Xenopus tropicalis: one gene and its partners. The protein of the gene in region 1 purifies or fractionates together with the protein of each later gene. This does not show direct contact. Links are inferred from orthologs where the notes say so. Each region holds a gene or a part of one and is shown in the gene's direction. Other genes may lie near its edges.

The links.
Region 2: the proteins of rbpj (region 1) and notch2 purify together in Homo sapiens (affinity purification with mass spectrometry; 3 studies listed by BioGRID and IntAct, counting the BioPlex papers as one, with this or other methods). This does not show direct contact. The link is inferred for Xenopus tropicalis from reciprocal best matches to the Homo sapiens genes RBPJ and NOTCH2.
Region 3: the proteins of rbpj (region 1) and rita1 purify together in Homo sapiens (affinity purification with mass spectrometry; 4 studies listed by BioGRID and IntAct, with this or other methods). This does not show direct contact. The link is inferred for Xenopus tropicalis from reciprocal best matches to the Homo sapiens genes RBPJ and RITA1.
Region 4: the proteins of rbpj (region 1) and fbxo42 purify together in Homo sapiens (affinity purification with mass spectrometry; 3 studies listed by BioGRID and IntAct, counting the BioPlex papers as one, with this or other methods). This does not show direct contact. The link is inferred for Xenopus tropicalis from reciprocal best matches to the Homo sapiens genes RBPJ and FBXO42.
Region 5: the proteins of rbpj (region 1) and maml1 purify together in Homo sapiens (co-immunoprecipitation; 12 studies listed by BioGRID and IntAct, counting the BioPlex papers as one, with this or other methods). This does not show direct contact. The link is inferred for Xenopus tropicalis from reciprocal best matches to the Homo sapiens genes RBPJ and MAML1.
Region 6: the proteins of rbpj (region 1) and fhl1 purify together in Homo sapiens (affinity purification with western blotting; 4 studies listed by BioGRID and IntAct, with this or other methods). This does not show direct contact. The link is inferred for Xenopus tropicalis from reciprocal best matches to the Homo sapiens genes RBPJ and FHL1.

Annotation. Positions count from the first base shown.
Region 1 is NC_030677.2:32,051,653-32,055,152, forward strand, and holds part of rbpj (recombining binding protein suppressor of hairless), read left to right. Parts: intron 1-699; coding exon 700-837; intron 838-1,028; coding exon 1,029-1,141; intron 1,142-1,656; coding exon 1,657-1,797; intron 1,798-2,504; coding exon 2,505-2,660; intron 2,661-3,500. UniProt on the Homo sapiens protein: Transcriptional regulator that plays a central role in Notch signaling, a signaling pathway involved in cell-cell communication that regulates a broad spectrum of cell-fate determinations.
Region 2 is NC_030680.2:117,858,467-117,862,761, reverse strand, and holds the end of notch2 (neurogenic locus notch homolog protein 2), read left to right. Parts: intron 1-39; coding exon 40-187; intron 188-1,188; coding exon 1,189-1,286; intron 1,287-1,559; coding exon 1,560-2,894; 3' UTR 2,895-3,795; downstream 3,796-4,295. UniProt on the Homo sapiens protein: Functions as a receptor for membrane-bound ligands Jagged-1 (JAG1), Jagged-2 (JAG2) and Delta-1 (DLL1) to regulate cell-fate determination.
Region 3 is NC_030677.2:145,154,659-145,158,845, forward strand, and holds the start of rita1 (RBPJ-interacting and tubulin-associated protein 1), read left to right. Parts: upstream 1-1,387; 5' UTR 1,388-1,658; intron 1,659-2,288; coding exon of another isoform or gene 2,289-2,315; exon of another isoform or gene 2,316-2,320; intron 2,321-3,640; 5' UTR 3,641-3,680; coding exon 3,681-3,958; intron 3,959-4,187. Other genes in the region: ATP-dependent RNA helicase DDX54, read right to left, coding at 1,020-1,139. UniProt on the Homo sapiens protein: Tubulin-binding protein that acts as a negative regulator of Notch signaling pathway.
Region 4 is NC_030683.2:132,640,700-132,643,963, reverse strand, and holds part of fbxo42 (F-box only protein 42), read left to right. Parts: coding exon 1-57; intron 58-1,999; coding exon 2,000-2,096; intron 2,097-3,264. UniProt on the Homo sapiens protein: Substrate-recognition component of some SCF (SKP1-CUL1-F-box protein)-type E3 ubiquitin ligase complex. Specifically recognizes p53/TP53, promoting its ubiquitination and degradation.
Region 5 is NC_030679.2:12,091,845-12,095,807, reverse strand, and holds the start of maml1 (mastermind-like protein 1), read left to right. Parts: upstream 1-1,163; 5' UTR 1,164-1,489; coding exon 1,490-1,819; intron 1,820-3,963. UniProt on the Homo sapiens protein: Acts as a transcriptional coactivator for NOTCH proteins. Has been shown to amplify NOTCH-induced transcription of HES1. Enhances phosphorylation and proteolytic turnover of the NOTCH intracellular domain in the nucleus through interaction with CDK8.
Region 6 is NC_030684.2:68,791,434-68,795,466, forward strand, and holds the start of fhl1 (four and a half LIM domains protein 1), read left to right. Parts: upstream 1-1,233; 5' UTR 1,234-1,298; coding exon 1,299-1,320; intron 1,321-4,033.

The DNA of each region.
Region 1 (3,500 bases):
TGTTTTAGATAGCAGCAGGTTTTACTTTACTGATAAATCTGTTTGAACTTATTGACCCATAGCTGCAGCGTATGTTTTTGGGTGATACATATTTGTCATTAGACAGGACCTGGCGCTTGGTGGCAGTTCCCATCGAGTTTGAATGGGGGTGATTCCATGTGCCATTACACTAAAGGCAAAGCTGTGGGCGCAGCTGTTGTTTTCAATGAAGAATGCTACTTTACACTTGCACATAAGGGTGTGTTTTTGTCCACAGTAAACTGCTTCCCTTAAATGTTTAGATGCTTTCTGTTTTGTTTTATACCTGCGTTGTAGTTAAAAGGTTGAGCTTTGTTTACATCAGAACTGAGTGAGGCCTTCATGCGTACAGTGGGAATAGGGTGTATATAGTTGTATTGTTTAAAAGAAAGCAGTTAAGAAAAGGGAAAATAAATCATTTAATAAAGGTATAATTTGTTACTGATCTTTTTGCATTATTGATACAAAATAAGTATTGTTGTAGTTAATGTACCAAATACTTCAGGGAAGAATTTAAAGGGACAGTAAGTATGTTAGTGGTGGCCTTCTATATCTGTAGCCTATCCTTGCCATATTTATGGTGTATATTTTAAATATGATTTGCTTAGTGCAGAGGTTGCTTTTAGATGATGGCATAAAGGATTTGCCTATTCAGCTATATTAATATGTTTTATGTTTCAGTATGTATTGCGTCAGGGACAAAAGTGGCACTATTTAACCGGCTGCGATCACAGACAGTCAGCACAAGATATCTGCACGTAGAAGGCGGCAACTTCCACGCCAGCTCGCAACAGTGGGGAGCTTTCTACATTCACCTTTGTAAGTAGTCAACAAAGCCAAAATAGATTGTCTGTTGTTGAAAGACAGCCTGTAGAATTAACCTTTCTCTAAAGCAGTGGTTTGCAAAACTGCACTGTAGAAAAAGTGGATAGGCAATTGGAAATATGCCCACCATGTGTATGAGATCTAATAGTCCTACAACTGATTGTGTGTGTTCCATCTTTTCTTAGTGGATGACGAAGAGTCTGAAGGAGAGGAATTCACAGTGCGTGACGGTTACATTCACTATGGACAGACGGTGAAGCTTGTATGTTCGGTAACTGGCATGGCACTCCCACGACTGGTAAACTATCCGTTTTGTTTTTTAAATTACACACAGATCAAAATGTTTTAAACAGGTTTACGAATTCTAAATGTGGACATACATGTGCAAGGTTTTAGACTTCTTTTACGGTGAACATCGGATATCGATCATATATTTAAATGCAAAAATCTAAAACTAACATTCAGATTGAAATTGTAGGATAAAGTCCTAAAAATAACAAATCAGAGGATGTTCTGAACATAAAATTTGCGGACGCCAATCATACGAAAGTGATGTCCCAGAAGTGCATTGTAGGTCTCCCTAGGATATTGTCAGATACACAACACGTGCATAGATTCTATTGTTATATGACTGAAATTTTCTAACCTGACCGATTGGCATGAAATGAAAATTATAGGGGCGATAATTCTGAGCCCACACACTGTCTGAAAATCATATGAAATGTAGTTTTGTTCGATTATATCAGTGTGTTTGGCCAGCTTAACTATGTTATTAATGCTGATGTAAAAATATAATTCTTGTCTTTTTTGCAGATTATCCGCAAAGTGGATAAACAGACGGCATTGTTAGATGCAGATGATCCTGTATCCCAGCTCCATAAATGTGCATTTTATCTGAAGGATACAGAAAGAATGTACTTGTGCCTTTCTCAGGAAAGAATTATCCAGTTTCAAGTGAGTAGGGATGTGAAAGATTTACTGCTCTGTTACATAGTCTTTTTATGTCTTTGGTGAAATCAAATGTAGCTGATTCCACTGGTCTCTGGGATTTTTTAAGCAAGCAGCTCCCTAACATTGCGCAAGACTGTATGAGTTCTCTGCAATTTTAGAGTTGATTTCTGGCAGCACCACAGAACTAATAAGGAGGTGCAATACTGTACCTTGCAGAAGTATTAACTTACTAGAAAGTCCCTCCTCTCTTTAGCCATGGGCAAGTTCAGAGCACCAGAGAAAGTCAGTTTAGCCACACCGCAATTGTTCATTGCACAGGTCTCTGAGCTATTTCACTGTTAAAGTTAGGACCAGTTTAGTACGTAATATATTTTTCAGTTCCGAGGAACACTAAAAGGTAAAGTAATCAATATTTTACTCTAAGTTCAACTTTGCGTGACTTGTGCCAACTTGTAAGGCTTTTGGAGTGCAAGCAGTGGGTGGCACCTTTCATATGCATGCTAGGCAGGGTATTGGTGCTTGTTGAATTTACCTTTACAGAAAGACCGACATGTTCCAGCTGGAGAGACACCTTTTTGAATTTTTGGCCTGCTATTCAATTAATTGACATAAGGCATTTCTTTATTATACTGACAGTTACATCATTATGAGTATGTTTAATTCTGATGCTATATGCAAAGTATATGACCTGTTTACACATTGTGTTTCAGGCCACTCCATGTCCCAAAGAACCAAATAAAGAGATGATTAACGATGGTGCCTCTTGGACAATCATTAGCACAGATAAGGCAGAATACACTTTCTATGAAGGCATGGGGCCAGTAAATGCTCCAGTGACTCCAGTGCCTGTAGTAGAAAGCCTTCAGGTAAAGTAAACTGCATTTGTATGGCCTTTTAGAACCAGGGCTGTGGAGTCGGTAGATAAATTCTCCGACTCCTCTGTTTTTAATATGTTAATGTATTTTATACATTCATACAGTCAATGAAAAGCATGCTTCATGGTCACTCAACGTGTTCGTTTATGCACTGCGTGCATTGGGCTTTATTCTTATAGCAGAGAAGTAATTAATTATGACTGTTTGTGACTTGGGACATTTAAACTTGCTTTATTTTTTTTATTTTTTATTCCCATTTAAATTTAGTAGGAGTCGGAGTCGGTTCATTTTTTGCTGACTCCGACTCCAGGTACCCAAAATTGCCTCCGACTCCACAGCCCTGTTTAGAACTCTAAACTACTTTCATTGCTTGGAATCATTTAATATCAGCTTAATGATTTTACAATGCTGTCAAATTAAAGCTAATTTGCAATTGCTTTCTGGGTGTAATTTTCATGACTTCTATGTAATTTTGAAGATACCCTCAGTTTTAAAAAAAGGTGCTCACTTACTTTCTAATATCAGTAATAATAATTATAACTTCAGTTTTGTAATTTTCTATCCACATTGAATAGATATAAGAGATAATAAAGAGGATTTTTTTATGTTTTTGGCCCTTTAAACATATATTAACTGACATACTACCCTCTTATTTCTGTCTGGGAGCTAACCTTGTTCAAGCTACTCCTTGATTATTTACACAAGGTACTGTGAGAATTGTAGTTTAATCAGCAGCTGCTACTGATCAGCCATAGGTTACCTGATCATGAGATAATGAGGATATTAAGTTGAGGTCCCAACAGAAAGAAAAACACCTGCACTGCAGCCAAA
Region 2 (4,295 bases), on another chromosome or scaffold:
CCAAAGGAACTAACCTATTTATTCTCTTTTTTCTAATAGATTTTGATCCGTAACAGAGTCACAGACCTCGATGCGAGGATGAATGATGGTACAACCCCTCTCATCTTAGCTGCCCGCCTTGCTGTGGAAGGGATGGTTGCAGACTTAATAAACTGCCAGGCTGATGTTAATGCAGTGGATGATCATGGTAAGAAGTCAAATCATGCTGTCAGATTAGTTTAACCATATTGCTGGAGCTCTCTGGAAGCATTCTGGAATTGTTTGAGGATCATCATCAGACCGCATTGAAGGACAGCCTTCTGGGTACATGAAAGTAGGGTCTATAGCTGATTTTTCTCTACATGGGAAATATGCACACAAGGAAAATGCTTACTTTTTATTAATGTCCACACCATCAAGGTGTCTGCTCTGTCTGCTGTTCAAAAATTCAGTTCTCTCTAGAAATCATGGGCTGTGCAGGCTTTCTCTATTTTATTGGACAGACCTCTGTGTGGCTTGTGTATTGGCCATTTTTGTCTTTTCTTATTATGGTTAGGTATCATGCAGGAACACTGTTCCAGAGGAGCTTCCTACAAAACAGATTGATATATAAGAATAAAGTCTTTAGTATGAACATGCATTGGATGTGTTCTCCTACAAGGGGCCTTTGCAACCTGTAATATTTTGTTATGTTGTGGTTTCTGGTGTCTAACAGCTACGCTTTTCCATCAAAGGATTCTTAGATCATAACTGTAAATGAGGTCTTGATGCCTATAATGAAACAATGGGCTCCTGAGCAAACCTTGGAGCTTGTGCAGCTTCCAACAGGACCTCTATTTTTTTATACTAGAAACATGTTTATATCCATTCTAATTTAGTTTTACTGTGTTTGGTAGGAGCATTACCGAAGTAGGGAACTGACCTATAGTGGTTTTAGAAGATATATCTTGCAAAACCCATTTTTACATGTAAATAATAAAGGACAAGTAGAAGTCCATAAAAGTGAGACCTTAGGAAATAATTACCACCTGTATATTTTCTTTATTGTTATCCAGGGACTGTGCCTCTGTCAACTTTGTAAGCCTTACCAATACTGACATGATACTGATGATAGTTTCTATACATTGTACAAAGACTGACTAGTATTATCAGACATATTTTATTGCAGTTTGCCATTTTGCCATATCTAAATGATTTTTCCACCTACAGGTAAATCTGCACTTCACTGGGCTGCTGCAGTAAACAATGTTGAGGCTACAATTGTTCTGCTAAAGAATGGAGCAAATAGGGATATGCAAGACAACAAGGTAAACATCTTGGAATGTGCTGTTAGATATTAAAGCATATAGACATGTTGCAGTATTTCCGAGCTCTCTGCTGGTCCAGAGTTTAAGGAAAATAGATGAAATTTGGTTGATTTAACTATTTTGAATGTTTGGAATCTGGCAAAATGCGTTCTGCATGTTTGTTTAGAGAAGTGTTCATCATTAAGTGTGAAATATGTACCCTGCTGCTGTTTAATGTACCTTTAGTAGAAAGTATCACAATGGATAACTATATTTCTTCTTTTGTTGATGTAGGAAGAAACACCCTTGTTTCTTGCTGCTAGAGAGGGTAGTTTTGAAGCAGCCAAAATGCTTTTGGATTACTTTGCAAACCGAGAAATCACTGACCATATGGATCGTCTTCCCCGTGACATTGCCAAGGACAGAATGCATCATGACATTGTGCGCCTGTTGGACGAGTATAACTTGGTGCACAGCCCACAAGGACAGCCTGGTACAATGCTTTCAAATTCCCTGTCGCCAGCAGTGTGTGGCTCCAACAGATCTTTCCTGAACCTGAAACATGCCGCACAAACAAAGAAGGCCAGAAGGCCAAGTGCCAAAAGTGTAGCACCTCGAAGTCTTCCAAACTTAGCCAAAGAACCAAAAGATACCAAAAACAGGAGGAGGAAAAAGTCAGATACTGACAGTAAAGCGCAGCTTTCTGAAAGCTCAGTAACATTATCCCCTGTGGATTCTCTTGAATCCCCCCATGCTACTTCATCTCCTACCATTACATCTCCTGGAGCGCTGCATACGTCCCCTGGACAGATGATTGCAGCCTCTACGTTGCAGCCACCACGCACAACAATGTCTTTAACTAATCTTCAGCCCGTTGGTTGTGCAGCCAATAATATGCTGCCTTCTGTTGGACAGTTGTTATCACACTCGGCTCAAAATAATGTTCTTACAGCACAAAGACAGCTCACTATGTCATCTGATTGGCTGAGCCGCATGGAAAGGAATGACACCCAGTATAATGAAATGTTTGGTATAGTCCACCATGACACAAATAACCACTCATGTATTCCTCAACAAAATGGTATTATCCAAGCAGATATCAAGCCAACACTGCATATGGGTGTGGCTCGGGATGCTTTGCCTCCTATTATGACTTTCCAGCTTATCCCAAAGAGTGGAATGAACCAGCAGTCTGGCATCCAGACACTTGTGCAGCAGGCTAGTCATGGTCAGAATGTGGCTGCCATGTATCAGATTCCTGATAGAGCACGGATCACTGGCTCTTCTGTTCCTATAGCAATGATGCATCAACATGATGGACAGTTATCTCAAACTATGCTCACAGCTTACCATCCCCTTCAGAACCCAATGGGAAAATATCCAACCCCACCATCACAACACAGCTACACTTCCACTGATAAAACCCCAAACCATAATGGACATTTACCCGGAGAGCACCCTTACTTGACCCCTTCACCAGAATCTCCAGATCAGTGGTCCAGCTCCTCACCTAACTCTGCCTCTGATTGGTCAGATGTAACTACAAGTCCGACCCCTAATGGCAATCAAAGAATGCCTGCCACACATATGCCTGAACAATCACACAATGGCATGCAGATTTATGCATAGGACACGGTGCAATTTACGTTTAATCGTTGAACAAATGAAGGCTATTGGAGGCAATTTATACTTTCAGAAGTTGCTTCATCTGCAGCATCTGTTTATGTATTTCCTTGTACCACACAGGTACCTATTTCAATTGCAGGTGCTCTTTTTTGTTATATAACACAAGTGTTGTACAGACTGTACTAAAGCTTCCTGTCTGAACAAAGGATCGAGACTGAATTCATACAATGTCTAGTAAAAACAGAAACTGCTCAGATCAATTTTTCAACATCTGGGCGCAAAGAACATTTTTAGTGCCTTATTTAGAGACAAGGGTCAGTCCAAATGTGAGATAGCCTTTCAGGAGACATTGCACTGCTCACACTGGCGCGTCTGTACTTTTCTTGCTCACCTGGAATATCTGAAGATCAAATCAATGTGCAAATTCACATTCATTCCAGTAGATGTGCAACTTGTTAATTAGCCACAGGCGGGGAGCACCTGTCAGTCCCATTTACAAGGGATGTATGTGTATATATATATATATAACTACATGTTTAAATGTAAAATATCATTTGAATGTTTTGTACTCTCAGCCTTTTAATACCAGTTTATGTCAATATTCCTTTTATAACTTATCCAGCTCATTCCACTTTTAATGCTGTATTTAAAAAAAGGAAAAAGTTGACTTTTGTTTGGCAGCAGAAATGTTCTAGCAACTTCTGTGCCCAGTGGATTCTGTTACAATGTCACGTGATGTTTTTGGGAAGGTTTATGTATATGCGGACATGTCGTGACGCGGGAATCTAACGAGCAGCCATCGACTTGTATTTAATATAAACGTCTGATCTTTTCTACCTTTTTTTTGTCTGTTACAAATGCTCATTATTGTGTGTTTTATAGAAAGTAAAGAACTTTTCCAGTACTCTGGCACGGTCTGAGCAGTTGGACGCAAAGCACTTAGCCAAACAAAGCCTCCTTTTGTTCTTCCACTTTTTTAGTTTGTCTGCCAAAAGCACCTCGTGCAGGAAGCTGTACTCTGTTTTTCTGCATATTTTATTTTCTGTACTTACTTTATATGGTGCTGCATTGTTCAGTTTAATCCCAGAACACCCAATACAGCATTTGCTAGATATATATATATATATATATATATATATATATATATATATATATATATATATATCATAGGAAGAAGAGAAGTGGCATCATTTAGCTGATATGGAACTATCCTGAATTTTTCCTTTCAAACATAAATCTTAAATCACTGGGAAAAAGCATTCTCGAATTTTGATTAATAAGCCCCATAATTCTACAATGAGTACATGTGGAATAAGATGGGAGTGTGGGTGCGGTATGAGGGAGTACAGAGTGGGATGACAAGATGGTTTCTCTTTCAGTTTGCTTCTACTCTTCATTCTGTTT
Region 3 (4,187 bases), about 110 Mb from region 1:
GACTTGAAAACGAACATTTTGCGACTTTTTCGTATGTTTTGCGATTTTTTCGGATTCTTTACGAATTTTTCGTTACCAATACGATTTGCGCGTAAAAACGCGAGTTTTTCGTAGCCATTACGAAAGTTGCGTAAAATCTGGCGATTTTTCGTAGCGTTAAAACTTGCGCAAAAAGTTGCGCTTTTTTCTTAGCGTTAAAACTTACGCGAAACTTTGCACCTTTTAAGTTTTAACGCTACGAAAAATGCGCAACTTTTCGCGTAAGTTTTAACGCTTCGAAAAATGCGCAACTTTCGTAATGGCTACGAAAAACTCGCGTTTTTACGCGCAAATCGTATTGGTAACGAAAAATTCGTAAAGAATCCGAAAAAATCGCAAAATACTGATCATTACGAAAAAAACGCAATCGGACTCATTTCGACCCGTTCGTGGGTAAGTAAATCAGCCCCTAAGCCTGCCTGATTTACCTTACGACTTTCTGTTGCCGATCCTTCGCTTGCCTGACTCTGATTTTCAATACTGCAGTAATTATTCTCTAATTTATTAGGAAATGGGGTTAACACCTAATCATGCATGGGAAAAAAAAAATACCGTCAAATACCGTGACACCGATATAATTTTGAAAAATACCGTGGTATAAATTTTTGGTCATACCGCCCAGCTCTACTTTAACGTTTCAGTTTTCCAATTAATATATACTGGAAGTTCCTCAGCACCCTGTGCTTAGGGGGTTAGGAAAGAAATGAGCTTGAAATATATATCATGATAATAAAAGTGATACTGGTGTTGACTTTTGTCAAGTAATACTGCTCGGTAAAACATAATATCAGTGACTTATATAGCACCAGAAAACTACAAAGCACTTTCCCCTCACAGAATCTATTAACCCTACAGTGCCCTGAAAGATTTCTGCGGCACTCAATTGCAAAATTACTCTGAGTACAGATGGTAACTTAGTTGCTTGAATCCTGAGAAACTAATTTCGAACATGCGAGCTACAATTGCCAGTTCGCACTTACTACTCCATCCTCCTTTTGGGGTGCAGCTTTGACACGAAATCCCACTGTGTCGCTTTCGTCGCTCTCTTGGTTTTGACAGCATTTCCGAGATCGCTGTCCCTTACGTTTTTTCTGAGCCATTTCCGCAATTCTAAGACTATATCTATATCGTCTTTAAAATAGCTCAGTTTAACCCCAGACCATCAGCGATCCTCTGAATGTACGAGCACGTCTATCCCCCACGTGTCTCACAGACACCCGGAAGGGATTGAGTACAACTTCCTGGAATGTACCACTTGGTGTCAGTGAACAGGGGACGGTGTGTTGCTATCGCACTTCTGTTGCCAGCTCTCTGCTGCCACATTTCTGCACTGCAAAACGGATGAGGAGCTGAAATACAGAAATGCGATACACTGTGTAACCTCTGTCCCTGCTCTCGGGTTTGGGTGAGTCCGAGTTGTAATGTGTATCATTACCATGGGAGCTGGGCAGAGCGTGTTACACACAGTTGTCTCTAGCTGCCTGTATAGCTGCCTGTATAGCTGCCTGTATAGCTGCATGTATACACTCATCTCGTCGGCTGAAAGAGGCTGCCTGCAGCAAGTCTATCGACTGCATGTGCCTAACATGATGCCAATGGTATAAACGTTTTGCCATCAGGTAATACTTCAAGTCATAAAGTTACATTTTTAAAAGTTATGGTTATATTCATTGATACATACTCATTTTCTACTCAGTTCTCAAAATTCCCCGCCCAGTTCACTAGTGTAGCCTTTTATTTTCTGGAGATTAGCCAAGTGTTTTGTATTCAGAAACTGCAACTTGTGTGACAGAACTCTAGCCAAATGTTGTTTGGCATTGGTTGAAAATCCTATAAGGCAAGGACTGCATTAAAACATTTGATTGGACAAGGTTGCTTAAAGAATATTTGCATGTATTGATTTGTATTGCTGTTTTTTGAGTTATAGTTTCCTGTACTGACATTTAGTCAGGCTTATGGGGTAGTGTGCTACAGCTTTGGTCAAATGGTTAAGCTAAATTGCACAATTAGACCTAACATCCAACTGGAATGGCAGCGGAGGCAAGTACTTCATAGGGCTTACGTAAGTCCGCAAGTGCAGCTGCGGTCCCTGCACTTTCCCTCCCAGTCAGTTGCATGGAAAACCACTTTCATTAAAGGAGAATGCAAGTCAAAATTTAAAAAGCATACTGCCCAAAGTCCTCCTATTGTTTAGTAAAAACGCCACACTTTTGGCTCACCTAATCAAATATTTACTCAGTCACACTTACTTCACATTTTCTAGAACAGGCAGCCATCTCTAAAAAGGTATTCTCCCTTCCTTTCCCTCCTTGCTTCATACTGCACATGTGTTTCATTCCCTCCCCCCTCCCCTCTGCCAGATCCGCTTCTGATTGGCTGGTGGGTATGTGTAGCTCAGAACAGGAGACAGGATTAGGTTGTACACATGCTCAGAGAATAGGAAGGAGAGAGATTTCAGAGATGTCACTGTAGGCTTCACACTGCTGTAGGCTGCCAGCACCATATCTCAGAGAAGCAAGCAGGGATCTGGGAATTTAGATATGCAGTAAGTACTTAAAAAAAAATGCCTTTAGACTTACTTTTAATTTATATTAACCTTTCATTGTCCTTTAAAGGTACTTGTGTCAAAATGCACTCCTTGCACTTTAGTAACGCTTGGCAACACTTGGCCCTTCCTGCCTTCCGTTTAGAACTGAGCGCTGCTGTACCTATTGACACAGGGGTAGCCTACCAAGCGGTAGCTTTAGATCTCCCTCAGTGCCTAGTGCTGGATTTCTGATTAGGGTGCCCATAGGCTGCCCCCATTCTCCAGCCTCCCCCCCCCCCACAGGATTGCGTGCATGCCCGTCCTTTTAGCTTACATACGGAGCACTGGGGACGGTAATAGCTGCAGTTTTCTGCATGTCCCGTCCTTAGTGCTCCACATGTGAGCAACATCTACATGTGGCTGGCCGGAATGCCGCCCCTAAATTTATGCCACCCTAGGTCTGGGTCTTTGTGGCCTTGCCCAAATCTGGCCCTGTCAGTGCCCTACATCAATCACCACAGTTTAGTTTCAGTAGGAGTATAGGGCAAACGCATCACAACACCAGGTAGACTTTGAAAAATTCTGTGCAGTGCTCCCAATTTGCTGCAAAGCACATGGCAAGTTCTGTCAGTTTTGCCAAATCAGATACAATTAAAAGGGTTGTTCACCTTTGTACAACATTCACAAATGTAACAGATCACATTAATAGAACAATCTTTTCCATATAGAAAGATAACAAAAAATTTGCAACTGAAGATATTTTCTAAAGAGAGCATTGTTGGTGGTTTAATAAGATTTGGACATTGGAGGTGAACAATCCTTTTAAGGTAGCCACAGTGCAATTGCGTCAAGAGCATCACTCCTTTGCTATCACAACGATGCCTAAATTCTGGGATAAAAATGCATGTTCTGCTGTCTATGTCTTTTATCTGCTTATACATGATACAGGATATATATGATATATAGACAAGTGAACATAAATAGATGATCATTATTAGTATATGAAAACAATGCATTTTTTGTATAGTATGTTTAAATAAATGTTGTATTTATTAAGTTATTCTATATTTTTAGGAGACATCTAAACAAGTATCAGTTTAGGCCTGCTTCTGAAATGTCTCTGGATCTCTCTATAACTGGGCATCGCACTGCACTTCCACAGCGCAAAAGCAGAAGCGCTTACCGGTTCAAAGCTGCCAACTCCTATGTTGACGAGACTCTGTTTGGTACCTCTGGGGTAAGAGTGGATCAAACTGTAAAGTGGAACACTGCACCACCTTGTCAGACACCCCTTCTGTGGAGCCCAGGAGAAATACAAAACAACAAAAACACCTTAAGCTGTAGGCCTAAAAGCACTCCACCAGGGACTCCCAGGAAAAAGATTCAGTACAGGTACTTTTGGACCGTTGCTAATTATTGATCCTGAAAAGGAGTGATGTTTCTAATATTCTCCTCTAATCTTTTAAGTGTCCTGCTTTGTAGACATCAATATATATATTTATGTTAAAGTCACTCTTATGGAGCATGTGATACAAATGCCACTTACATCTGTACTTCCTGTCCTCTAACACTAAGGGGCATATTTACTAATCCACGAATCCGAATCACGAATGGGAAAAAA
Region 4 (3,264 bases), on another chromosome or scaffold:
CTGCGTCATTGGAGATAAGATGATAGTGTTTGGGGGCTCCTTGGGCTCTCGCCAAATGTGAGTAGATATTTTCTATTTTCTTGCCTATTCGTTCGACTAGAGCAGAACTTACACTGAGCGGGGAGAGATGGGAAAGTACAACTGGCATGGGCCAAGCAGCAGCCAATCAGCAGATAGCGTTAGTGGTACAGCAGCTAGCAGAACTCTACCAACAGCAACCAATCGGCTGCAGCCTTCAGCAACCAGTTAGCAAGTAGCTTTATAGTAACCTATAGCAGCCAGTCAGTAGTAAGCCTTACTCTGCCCATAGCAGCCAGTCAGTAGTGAGCCTTACTCTGCCAGTCAGTAGTGAGCCTTACTCTGCCCCATAGCAGCCAGTCAGTAGTAAGCCTTGCTCTGCCCATAGCAGCCAGTCAGTAGTGAGCCTTACTCTGCCAGTCAGTAGTGAGCCTTGCTCTGCCCATAGCAGCCAGTCAGTAGTAAGCCTTACTCTGCCCATAGCAGCCAGTCAGTAGTGAGCCTTACTCTGCCCATAGCAGCCAGTCAGTAGTGAGCCTTGCTCTGCCCATAGCAGCCAGTCAGTAGTGAGCCTTACTCTGCCAGTCAGTAGTGAGCCTTACTCTGCCCCATAGCAGCCAGTCAGTAGTAAGCCTTGCTCTGCCCATAGCAGCCAGTCAGTAGTGAGCCTTACTCTGCCAGTCAGTAGTGAGCCTTGCTCTGCCCATAGCAGCGGCCAGGTCAGTAGTAAGCCTTACTCTGCCCATAGCAGCCAGTCAGTAGTTGAGCCTTACTCTGCCATAGCAGCCAGTCAGTAGTGAAGCCTTGCTCTGCCCATAGCAGCCAGTCAGTAGTAAGCCTTACTCTGCCCATAGCAGCCAGTCAGTAGTAAGCCTTACTCTGCCCATAGCAGCCAGTCAGTAGTAAGCCTTACTCTGCCCATAGCAGCCAGTCAGTAGTGAGCCTTACTCTGCCCCATAGCAGCCAGTCAGTAGTAAGCCTTGCTCTGCCCATAGCAGCCAGTCAGTAGTGAGCCTTACTCTGCCAGTCAGTAGCCTTGCTCTGCCCATAGCAGCCAGTCAGTAGTAAGCCTTACTCTGCCCATAGCAGCCAGTCAGTAGTGAGCCTTACTCTGCCCATAGCAGCCAGTCAGTAGTGAGCCTTGCTCTGCCCATAGCAGCCAGTCAGTAGTGAGCCTTACTCTGCCCATAGCAGCCAGTCAGTAGTGAGCCTTACTCTGCCCCATAGCAGCCAGTCAGTAGTGAGCCTTACTCTGCCCCATAGCAGCCAGTCAGTAGTAAGCCTTACTCTGCCCCATAGCAGCCAGTCAGTAGTAAGCCTTACTCTGCCCCATAGCAGCCAGTCAGTAGTAAGCCTTACTCTGCCCATAGCAGCCAGTCAGTAGTGAGCCTTACTCTGCCCTATAGCAGCCAGTCAGTAGTGAGCCTTACTCTGCCCCATAGCAGCCAGTCAGTAGTGAGCCTTACTCTGCCCATAGCAGCCAGTCAGTAGTGAGCCTTACTCTGCCCCATAGCAGCCAGTCAGTAGTGAGCCTTACTCTGCCCATAGCAGCCAGTCAGTAGTTAGCCTTACTCTGCCCATAGCAGTCAGTCAGTAGTGAGTCTTACTCTGCCCATAGCAGCCAGTCAGTAGTGAGCCTTACTCTGCCCATAGCAGCCAGTCAGTAGTGAGCCTTACTCTGCCCTATAGCAGCCAGTCAGTAGTAAGCCTTACTCTGCCCATAGCAGCCAGTCAGTAGTAAGCCTTACTCTGCCCCATAGCAGCCAGTCAGTAGTAAGCCTTACTCTGCCCATAGCAGCCAGTCAGTAGTGAGCCTTACTCTGCCCATAGCAGCCAGTCAGTAGTAAGCCTTACTCTGCCCCATAGCATATAAGTGACCTTGTGGTATTGGGGTTGTAGCAGATTCTGTCACTTTATTCCTCAGTCCTGTGGGGCATTTAGTTACTTACTGTACCCCCATTATCTGTGTCCCCCCTCCCAGGAGCAATGATGTGTGGGTACTGGACCTGGAGCAGTGGTCATGGTCTAAGCCCACTATTACTGGTTCCTGTCCTCATCCTCGTGGCGGGCAATCTCAGGTAGGTGCCCAACTGCTGGGGCAGATATTACTATTTCCAGGCTAGAGCAGTGATTGGTGTTGTGGTATATTTGGTGTGACTCCAATCTCCCCCCAGTACTTACCCAGGTACAGAGCTCTGATTCTCTGTACTTCCTGCTCCTGGGCTGCTCTCTTTCCCATGGTCAGGCAGGAACCCCCCCCCTGGGTAAGTGAATCCAATCTCCCCCCAGTACTTACCCAGGTACAGAGCTCTGATTCTCTGTACTTCCTGCTCCTGGGCTGCTCTCTTTCCCATGGTCAGGCAGGAACCCCCCCCCTGGGTAAGTGAATCCAATCTCCCCCCAGTACTTACCCAGGTACAGAGCTCTGATTCTCTGTACTTCCTGCTCCTGGGCTGCTCTCTTTCCCATGGTCAGGCAGGAACCCCCCCCTGGGTAAGTGAATCCAATCTCCCCCCAGTACTTACCCAGGTACAGAGCTCTGATTCTCTGTACTTCCTGCTCCTGGGCTGCTCTCTTTCCCATGGTCAGGCAGGAACCCCCCCCCTGGGTAAGTGAATCCAATCTCCCCCCAGTACTTACCCAGGTACAGAGCTCTGATTCTCTGTACTTCCTGCTCCTGGGCTGCTCTCTTTCCCATGGTCAGGCAGGTACCTCCCCCGGGTAAGTGAATCCAATCTCCCCCCAGTACTTACCCAGGTACAGAGCTCTGATTCTCTGTACTTCCTGCTCCTGGGCTGCTCTCTTTCCCATGGTCAGGCAGGTACCTCCCCCCTGGGTAAGTGAATCCAATCTCCCCCCAGTACTTACCCAGGTACAGAGCTCTGATTCTCTGTACTTCCTGCTCCTGGGCTGCTCTCTTTCCCATGGTCAGACAGGAACCTCCCCCTGGGTAAGTGACTCCAATCTCCCCCCAGTACTTACCCAGGTACAGAGCTCTGATTCTCTGTACTTCCTGCTCCTGGGCTGCTCTCTTTCCCATGGTCAGGCAGGTACCTCCCCCTGGGTAAGTGAATCCAATCTCCCCCCAGTACTTACCCAGGTACAGAGCTCTGATTCTCTGTACTTCCTGCTCCTGGGCTGCTCTCTTTCCCATGGTCAGGCAGGAACCTCCCCCATGGTAAGTGAATCCAATCTCCCCCCAGTACTTACCCAGGTACAGAGCTCTGATTCTCTGTACTTCCTGCT
Region 5 (3,963 bases), on another chromosome or scaffold:
ATGAAGGGCACTGTGTATGGGGGGGCACTGTGTATGGTGGGGCTCTGTGTATAAAGGGTACTGTATATAAAGGGTACTGTGTATGGGGGGTACTGTATATGGGGGGGCTCTGTGTATGAAGGGTACTGTGTATGGGGGGCACTGTATATGGGGGGGCTCTATGTATGAAGGGTACTGTGTATGGGGGGTACTGTATATGGGGGGCTCTGTGTATGAAGGACACTGTGTATGGGGGGATACTGTGTATGGGGGGTACTGTATATGGGGGGCTCTGTGTATGGGGGGCACTGTGTATGGGGGGGCTCTGTGTATGGTGGGGCTCTGTGTATAAAGGGTACTGTGTATGGGGGGCACTGTATATGGGGGGGCTCTATGTATGAAGGGTACTGTGTATGGGGGGTACTGTATATGGGGGCTCTGTGTATGAAGGGCACTGTATATGGGGGGGCACTGTGTATGGGGGGCTCTGTGGGCTTCCTTAGGTAGTACAGTATGAGGGTATAGCACATTTGCATCTGATCCCGCCATTTCAACTATATAAAAGGAGTATTTTTAGAAAAAAATGGCGTGTGTTAATTGGGGCGTGGTCACAAAAGTGGGCGTGACCAAAAAATTTTGCCGCGACGCGCGCGCCAAATCTTTTTGTCCCTCTTTTTGTTTTTCAAATGTTGGGAGGTATGATCTAACCTCGCTTTTGGTAAATTTTGGGGTATTTTATATTGTTCAAGCCAGGGCATGTACTGTGAATCTTTTGCTACCATACAGCGCTGAGGAATACCTTGGCATTTAAAAATTGAACAATATATCAAAAATATGTACCATTTAAAGCTCAGGGGGTGCCTGGAAAGTTTTCAAGCTAAATATAGCTGCAGCAGAGCATTGTGTTGATTTCAGTTTTGTTCATCAGAAGAAGCTGCCCTTCCTGCTATTTTTAGTGCCTCAACAGAATCTGATCTTTGTTCCAAAAGAAAAAAAAAAAAAATACACAAACCACTTGTTTTGCTTCTGAGCTGGGAATCTAGAGCAAACTCAGGGAGGAGCCGCTAAACTCTAATTGGCAAAGCTCCACCCTTCAACGTCAGCCAATCACTACCGCTCGCTTTGGATTGGTTTTCCGCATCCTCAACCTTTTTTTCCCCTCTCCGCCTACCGTAGGCAAAACACTGCTCCCGAAGATCCGTTTACAAAACACAGACGTCACTGTTTGGGCTCCGCCCACGCCAAGGTTTGATTGGTCGGCGGTCTCTGCCTATCAGCCGTGACGCTTGCACCCCTTTTACTCCGAGAGAAGAGTAGTTTCAAGATGGCGGACGCTCGGATAACAATGGCGAGCGGGCGGCGGGGGCGTTAGGGGGAGCTGCGAGGCGGGAGAGAAGTGGATACCGTGCGGGGGGGGGAAAGTGTTGCCATTGTCAGAGGAGGCTTTTCCTCAGGCCGGGGGTATGAGAGTGCTATTCCCGTAATAGTCCGGCTTCACCTCTCCCCACAGATGGCGGATTTTGTGGTCCCCCGACACAGCGCCGTGATGGAGCGCCTCCGCCGACGGATAGAGCTTTGCCGGCGGCACCACGGTACCTGCGAGTCGCGATACGAAGCCTTAGCTGGGGAGAGGCTGGAGCTAGAGAGGCAGCATACCTTCCAGTTACACCAGCGCTGCCTGCAGGCCAAGGCCAAGAGGGCCGGGAAGCACAGGCAGCAGGCTGTCTCTAGCGCCGAGTCCGGCCCGGGCAGGGGGAATCCCAGCACTACCGGCAGCCTGGATACCGACGGAGGCGGCGGCGGCAATGGCGAGCAGTGTAGGAACAGCACTCTCATCGCGGTAAGTGACGGCAGGGCTTCTGCGATCTTCCTGCAGGGGCATGGCAGCGATTTCTTACTCTAAACTCTTAGGGTGAAGCCACACGGAGCTACTAGTAGCAGCTACTTTTTTCAAGGCTACTAAACTCCCAAAAATACTGAGAATTGCCTCTGCTAAAACACATGTAGAGACAATTATCAGTAAATGATCAGCATTGTCTGTTTTAGTAGCCAAGAAAAGTAGCTGTTACTAGTAACTCCGTGTGGCTTCACCCTTAGGGTGAAGACACACGGAGCTACTAGTAGCAGCGACTTGTGCTGATCATTTACTGATAATTGTGTCTACGTGTGTTTTAGCAGAGGCAATTCTCAGTATTGTCTATGGCAGGGGATTTTCTGGTGTTTAGTAGCCGTGACAAGTAGCTGCTACTAAGTAGCTCTGTGTGTCTTCACCCTTGTTGAGGCATGGCAGGGATTTCTTACTCTGTGGCCTTTAAACTCTTAGGGTGAAGACACACGGAGCTACTAGTAGCAGCGACTTGTGGCTACTAAAATGCTGATCATTTACTGATAACTGTCTCTACGTGTGTTTTAGCAGAGGCAATTCTCAGTATTGTCTATGGCAGGGGATTTTCTGGCATTTAGTAACAGGAAAAAAGTTGCTGCTACTAGTAGCTCAGTGTGTCTTCACCCTTACTTTTTGAGGCATGGCAGGGATTTCTTACTCTGTGGCCTTTAAACTCTCTTAGGGTGAAGCCACACGGAGCTACTAGTAGCAGCTACTTGTGGCTACTAAAATGCTGATGATTTACTGATAAATGTCTCTACATGTGTTTTAGCAGAGGCGATTCTCTGTTTTGTCTATGGCAGGGGATTTTCTGGCATTTAGTATCAGGGAAAAGGTAGCTGCTACTTGTAGCTCAGTGTGTCTTCACCCTTGTTGAGGCATGGCAAGGATTTCTTACTCTGTGGCCTTTAAACTCTTAGGGCTCTGGCACACGGGGAGATTAGTCGCCCGCGACAAATCTCCCGTGTCTCGGGCGACTAATCTCCCCGGATTGCCATCCCACTGGCGAAAATGTAAATCGCCAGTGGGATGGCATACGCGGCGGCGCGATTTCAGCGAGATCGCGCAAGTTTCCTCTCGAGGCAACTTGCACGATATCTCACTGAAATCGCGTCACCACGTGTGCCATTCCACCGGCGACTTACACTTTCGCCGGTGGGATGGCAGGTGATGGCAACTCGGGGAGATTAGTCGCCTGAGACACGGGAGATTTGTCGCGGGCGACTAATCTCCCTGTGTGCCAGAGCCCTTAGGGTGAAGGCACACGGAGCTACTAGTAGCAGCTACTTGTGGCTACTAAAATGCTGATCATTTACTGATAATTGTCTCTAGCTGTGTTTTAGCAGAGGCAATTCTCAGTATTGTCTATGGCAGGGGATTTTCTGGCATTTAGTAGCAGGGAAAAAGTAGCTGCTGCTACTAGTAGCTCTGGGGATTGTAGCCCTGAGCTTGTATTGGGCATATGAGCTAGTTAGTAGCAGCTACTTTTTACAGCTACTAAACACCAGAAAATCCCCTGCCATGGACAATAATGGGAATTGCCTCTGCTAAAACACACGTAGAGACAGTTATCAGTAAATGATCAGCATTGTCTGTTTCAGTAGCTGCTACTAGTAGCTCAGTGTGTTTTCACCCTTACTTATACATACTTGTTGAGGCACGGCAGGGGTTTCTCCGGATTGTAGCCCTGAGCTTGTATTGGGCATATGAGCTACTTAGTAGCAGCTACTTGTTAGGGCTACTAAATACCAGAAAATACCCTGCCATAGACAATACAGAGAATTGCCTCTGCTTAAACACATGTAGAGACAATTATCAGTAAATGGTCAGCATTGTCTATTTTAATAGCCATGACAAGTAGCTGCTACTAGTAGCTCTGTGTGTCTTCACCCTTGTTGAGGCACGGAAGGGATTTCTCCGGATTGTAGCCCGGAGCTTGTATTGGGCATATGCTCTGACCCAGGATTTTTCACAGGTTCAACTTTCTCTTGGAGCAAGTAGTTAGAACAGGATAGCCTGTCTGTATGTTTATACTCAGCCAGCTAGCAGGAACACTCATCTGCACATGTCCATGTTGGACTAAGGGTGAAAACACACAG
Region 6 (4,033 bases), on another chromosome or scaffold:
TAAGAAAATTGAATAATTCATCCCCTGTGCACCATGCACATGCAGAAATGTCTTTGCATTAATGTTCTTTCACTGGCTGTGAGTTTAACCCACGTGCTTGTCCCACTAAGCTCAATATGCTCTATGAAGTAGAAGTGTGACATTTATAACATGTTGTTTTATACATATATATATATATATATACTGCAGTTATCGGCATTCATAACTTAAAAAAAATATATAATTGTTGCATAATGTTAAAATTTCCAGATGGAAATAGGAAAATTAGGTTTTTATTTGTCATGTATCTTTAATCTTTGATTTTACTTTGTACTATATTGTGTATCTACTATGCCTTAAGTGCTCTTATAGTGAGGAGTGATAGATTCATAATTATGTACAGCTGGATGAGTACAATTCCCATTTCTGTTATTATTATTTGAACATCACTCTACTTAACTAAAATATCTTAGCCTTTTTGAGGGGCCCCATCTACAATCTTTTTGTGGGATAAGAGAGGGTGCTGTTTCGTCCATCTAATGTATTTTATTTTTTATTACTATTGTATATTGTTTAGGGATTGATTTGAGATCTCTTTCAATAAAGGTATTCATATTGCACTTCATATCCATCCAGTGTTTGTTGTTGGCGATGCAGAGCACAGCATTTTACATTTGTTTGGCCTTTGGCCATTGTTTAGATGATCATAAAGCAGTTGCTACTACTTGTCCTCTTATAAAGACAGGTCTGTTAAAAGGTTAAATCAGTTGACTCAGCTTCATATTGTATAGTTTATCACTCAGTTTCACTATGGTAAATGTATTAAGAACAGTGAGGGTCTCAACCCAATTTAAGAAAAGCACTTCATATCTTATACTCCAAACAAAATAAGGATGTATATACCTGGCAGAAATCTACAAACACTGGAATATTATTTTACAGTGGACTTGTGTCCTGAACTTTCATCTGAGGCAGGGAAAATGTTCTGTGATATTTAAGTGGGGTGTTAGGTTTCCTTAGGGCTTGAACTCCTGTGTTTTCATGGGGTGGCTAATTTAGAAATCTGAGTAGTTGCATGGGCATTTTATGTGTACACGATTTTTTCTGGACTCTATTCTTCTCTCAAAAGATAACCAAAAATGGTCTTGCTTTTCAAGTAGGATTAAACAAGAAATCCCTGGAGGGGGGTGTGAACATTTTGCATCTGACTCCTTATTAATAGCTCCCTGTATACATACATTATCAAACAGTACATTTGGTATCAACCAAAGAACAGACCACTTGGCTAAGGAGGCTGCTTGTGAATTTCTCGTTCCCAAATGGCATTTGAAAGGCATTCAGGTAAATAAATGTAGAACTTCCTCTGTTATTTTATTAACTCATAAATAATTTGTGCAGTGTATTATACATGAGATTTAAATATGTGACCAAATGACAGTGTTTACATACTGCAGCAAATATTTATGAACAGAATATTGTTTTAAAGTGTATCCTATTATATTCTACACAATTTTTATGTATTCAGACAGGATGCAAGTGGGGGTTTGAGGTATCTGTTGCAGATTAAATTTTGAAGCATGGAGACTAATTTTCATTTTGTGTATTTAAAAGGGATATTAGGCACAGCTAGAAGTAGTGATGGTATAGCTGAGTAAGTTAGTGTATTTTAGAGTTTGATTTTTGCATCAACGTGTCAATGTGTTACACAGCTGAGACACTAGAACAGCAGATAAACATGATCAGATTACAATAACCTGTGTGTGTTCAGACCACAAAGTGCTAAATTGCTTCCAATGGGTTTCTGTAGCATAGCTATAAATATATGTGTATATGAGTATATATATATGTATATAAATCAAAGGTTTCACACTCAACAGGAATTTTACAAAAAATCAAAAAGGCTTTATTTAAATTCCCAACGTTTTGGTCACACCTAGTGACCTATATCAAGGGAAAACAAAGAATAAATATAAATATACTGTATGCCATTACAGATCAGACACATTTGATGTTTGTATCTATTGATCATTCATTTAACATTTTCTTACACTCCACCTAACCCCTTAATGACTGAGTAAATGGTGTGGTAAAGACATTTCTGGTGATTGCCTTTTCCTCTGTTCTTACTGATACTGCAATGAGCCTGTTTAGCCTTTCTATTGTATCTGTAGTGTCTCAGGCCATTTTCCCTGTATATCAGACCCCTATATAAGCCAGTGAGCTCTTTGAGCTATTCCAGTGATCCCCGAACAGTGGCTCGTATGCAACATGTTGCTCACCAACCCCTTGGATGTTTCTCCCAGTGGCCTCAAAGCAGGTGCTTATTTTTTAATTAAGCTTTTTTAATTTTTTTAATTAAGTTTTTGTTGCATAAAAACCCCAGTGTAAAGCCAAACAGAACCTTCTGTAGGCTGCCAGATTGTATAGGGGCTACCAAATAGACAAACAAACCTCCAGCACCCCTGGAACTTTTTTCATACCTGTTTTGCTGAGTTTGTAATGCACATGCTGATTAATAAGTCAAAATTTCTACTAAAGTATAGTTACACTAATCCTTCCTTGCAGTAAGGCTTATTTATCTGTAGATTAGTGTTTATTCATATGACTTACGCTCTGAAGAGAATAAACATAAGGTCTTTAGGAGAATGTGGGTCTCATCTATTAATGGGACACAGTGTGGAATTCCAGTGGAAACCAAGTCTGCTGTGCCCTCACCTGCACTACAGCATATCACTCTTGGAGCTTAGCGTGCTCTCAGTACTTATCCTTTATATTGTGTGATTGATTCTTTTATAGATTCAGTTAAAACCTAGCATGTAACCTGTTAGGGAATATATGAATAATAGGGCAGTAATTGGCAATAAAGATGACTTCATTGTTCATAAATGGCAACTGAAGCTCCACAGTGCAAGGTTTAGCTGTTGTCTGGGCAACAGGCTGAAGAGCAAACATATCCTAAATAAATGACTCTGATATGGAGCGGACAAATGCTGTGTGGGGTTTATCATGCAGCCTGTGACAGCTCCGTCAGAACTCAGGCACGCCATTGTTTGTACTGCATCTGTCACTTTTCTCTAGATATCCTCTGACATAAGGCAAGCCTTCCAAGCAACTGGCCAGGTTTTTATTTGGAGCAGTTTGTTGTTAGGATACAAAGAGATGTCAGGGGATAAATTGTTTGCGATCTGCAAGTCCAGGCCAAATTTACATAAAGGGTTAGTTCATACTTTTATTCTGTTATCGAAGCCCTTTTTGTACTCTAAAAGGCAACCTCCTTTAGTCAAACCTCATGGGATGCCCTTGTATCCTCTGTATTGTCCTTCCATATAGTCATAAATAGTGATCCTAACTCTAAAAGCACTGGTTCTCCTTTGGAACAAACCCAACTTGGCCAGTATTTTTTTAATGTCTTAGACTTTCCATATCCTTTGAGTTTTGTTACTGTTTTCTGAACCTTCCTTTATCAATGACATCCCTTTAAAAAAACTGGAGACCAAAACCACACAGTTTCTTATAGATGGGCCCTTTTCAGTGCTTCTTAAAATCACTAGTTACCCTTGCAGGACTGAGGATGTTTAGCAATGTTGGACTGAGATGCCAGGGGCCTACCAGAAAGGCTTGGATCACAGCCCTACTGTCTATACTTTTGATTTACTATTTACTCACCTTATTTATGTTACATACACTCATCTATCCTGCTCTCCATAGTTTCTATATCCCCTTTTCTCATACAGGAATGAGGAATGGCAGTGATATAGGCATACAAAACCACCAATCACCTGGGTCCACCAAGGGGTTTTCTTGGCACCCTGATAGGCCAGGCATAATCAGAAGGAACAGATCAAGATAAATAATAAGAAGTTACAGGAAGAACTTTGGAGACGTAGAATTTATTTTTAAAGGAGAAGGAAAGGCTAAGTCACTTGGGGTGCCAAAATGTTAGGCACCCCCAAGTGAATTAAATCGCTTACCTTGTACCCCGGGCTGGTGCCCCTGTTAGGAGAAAACAGCACCAGCCCGGGGTACCTGCAGCAAGCGATTCCTTCTTCCGCGT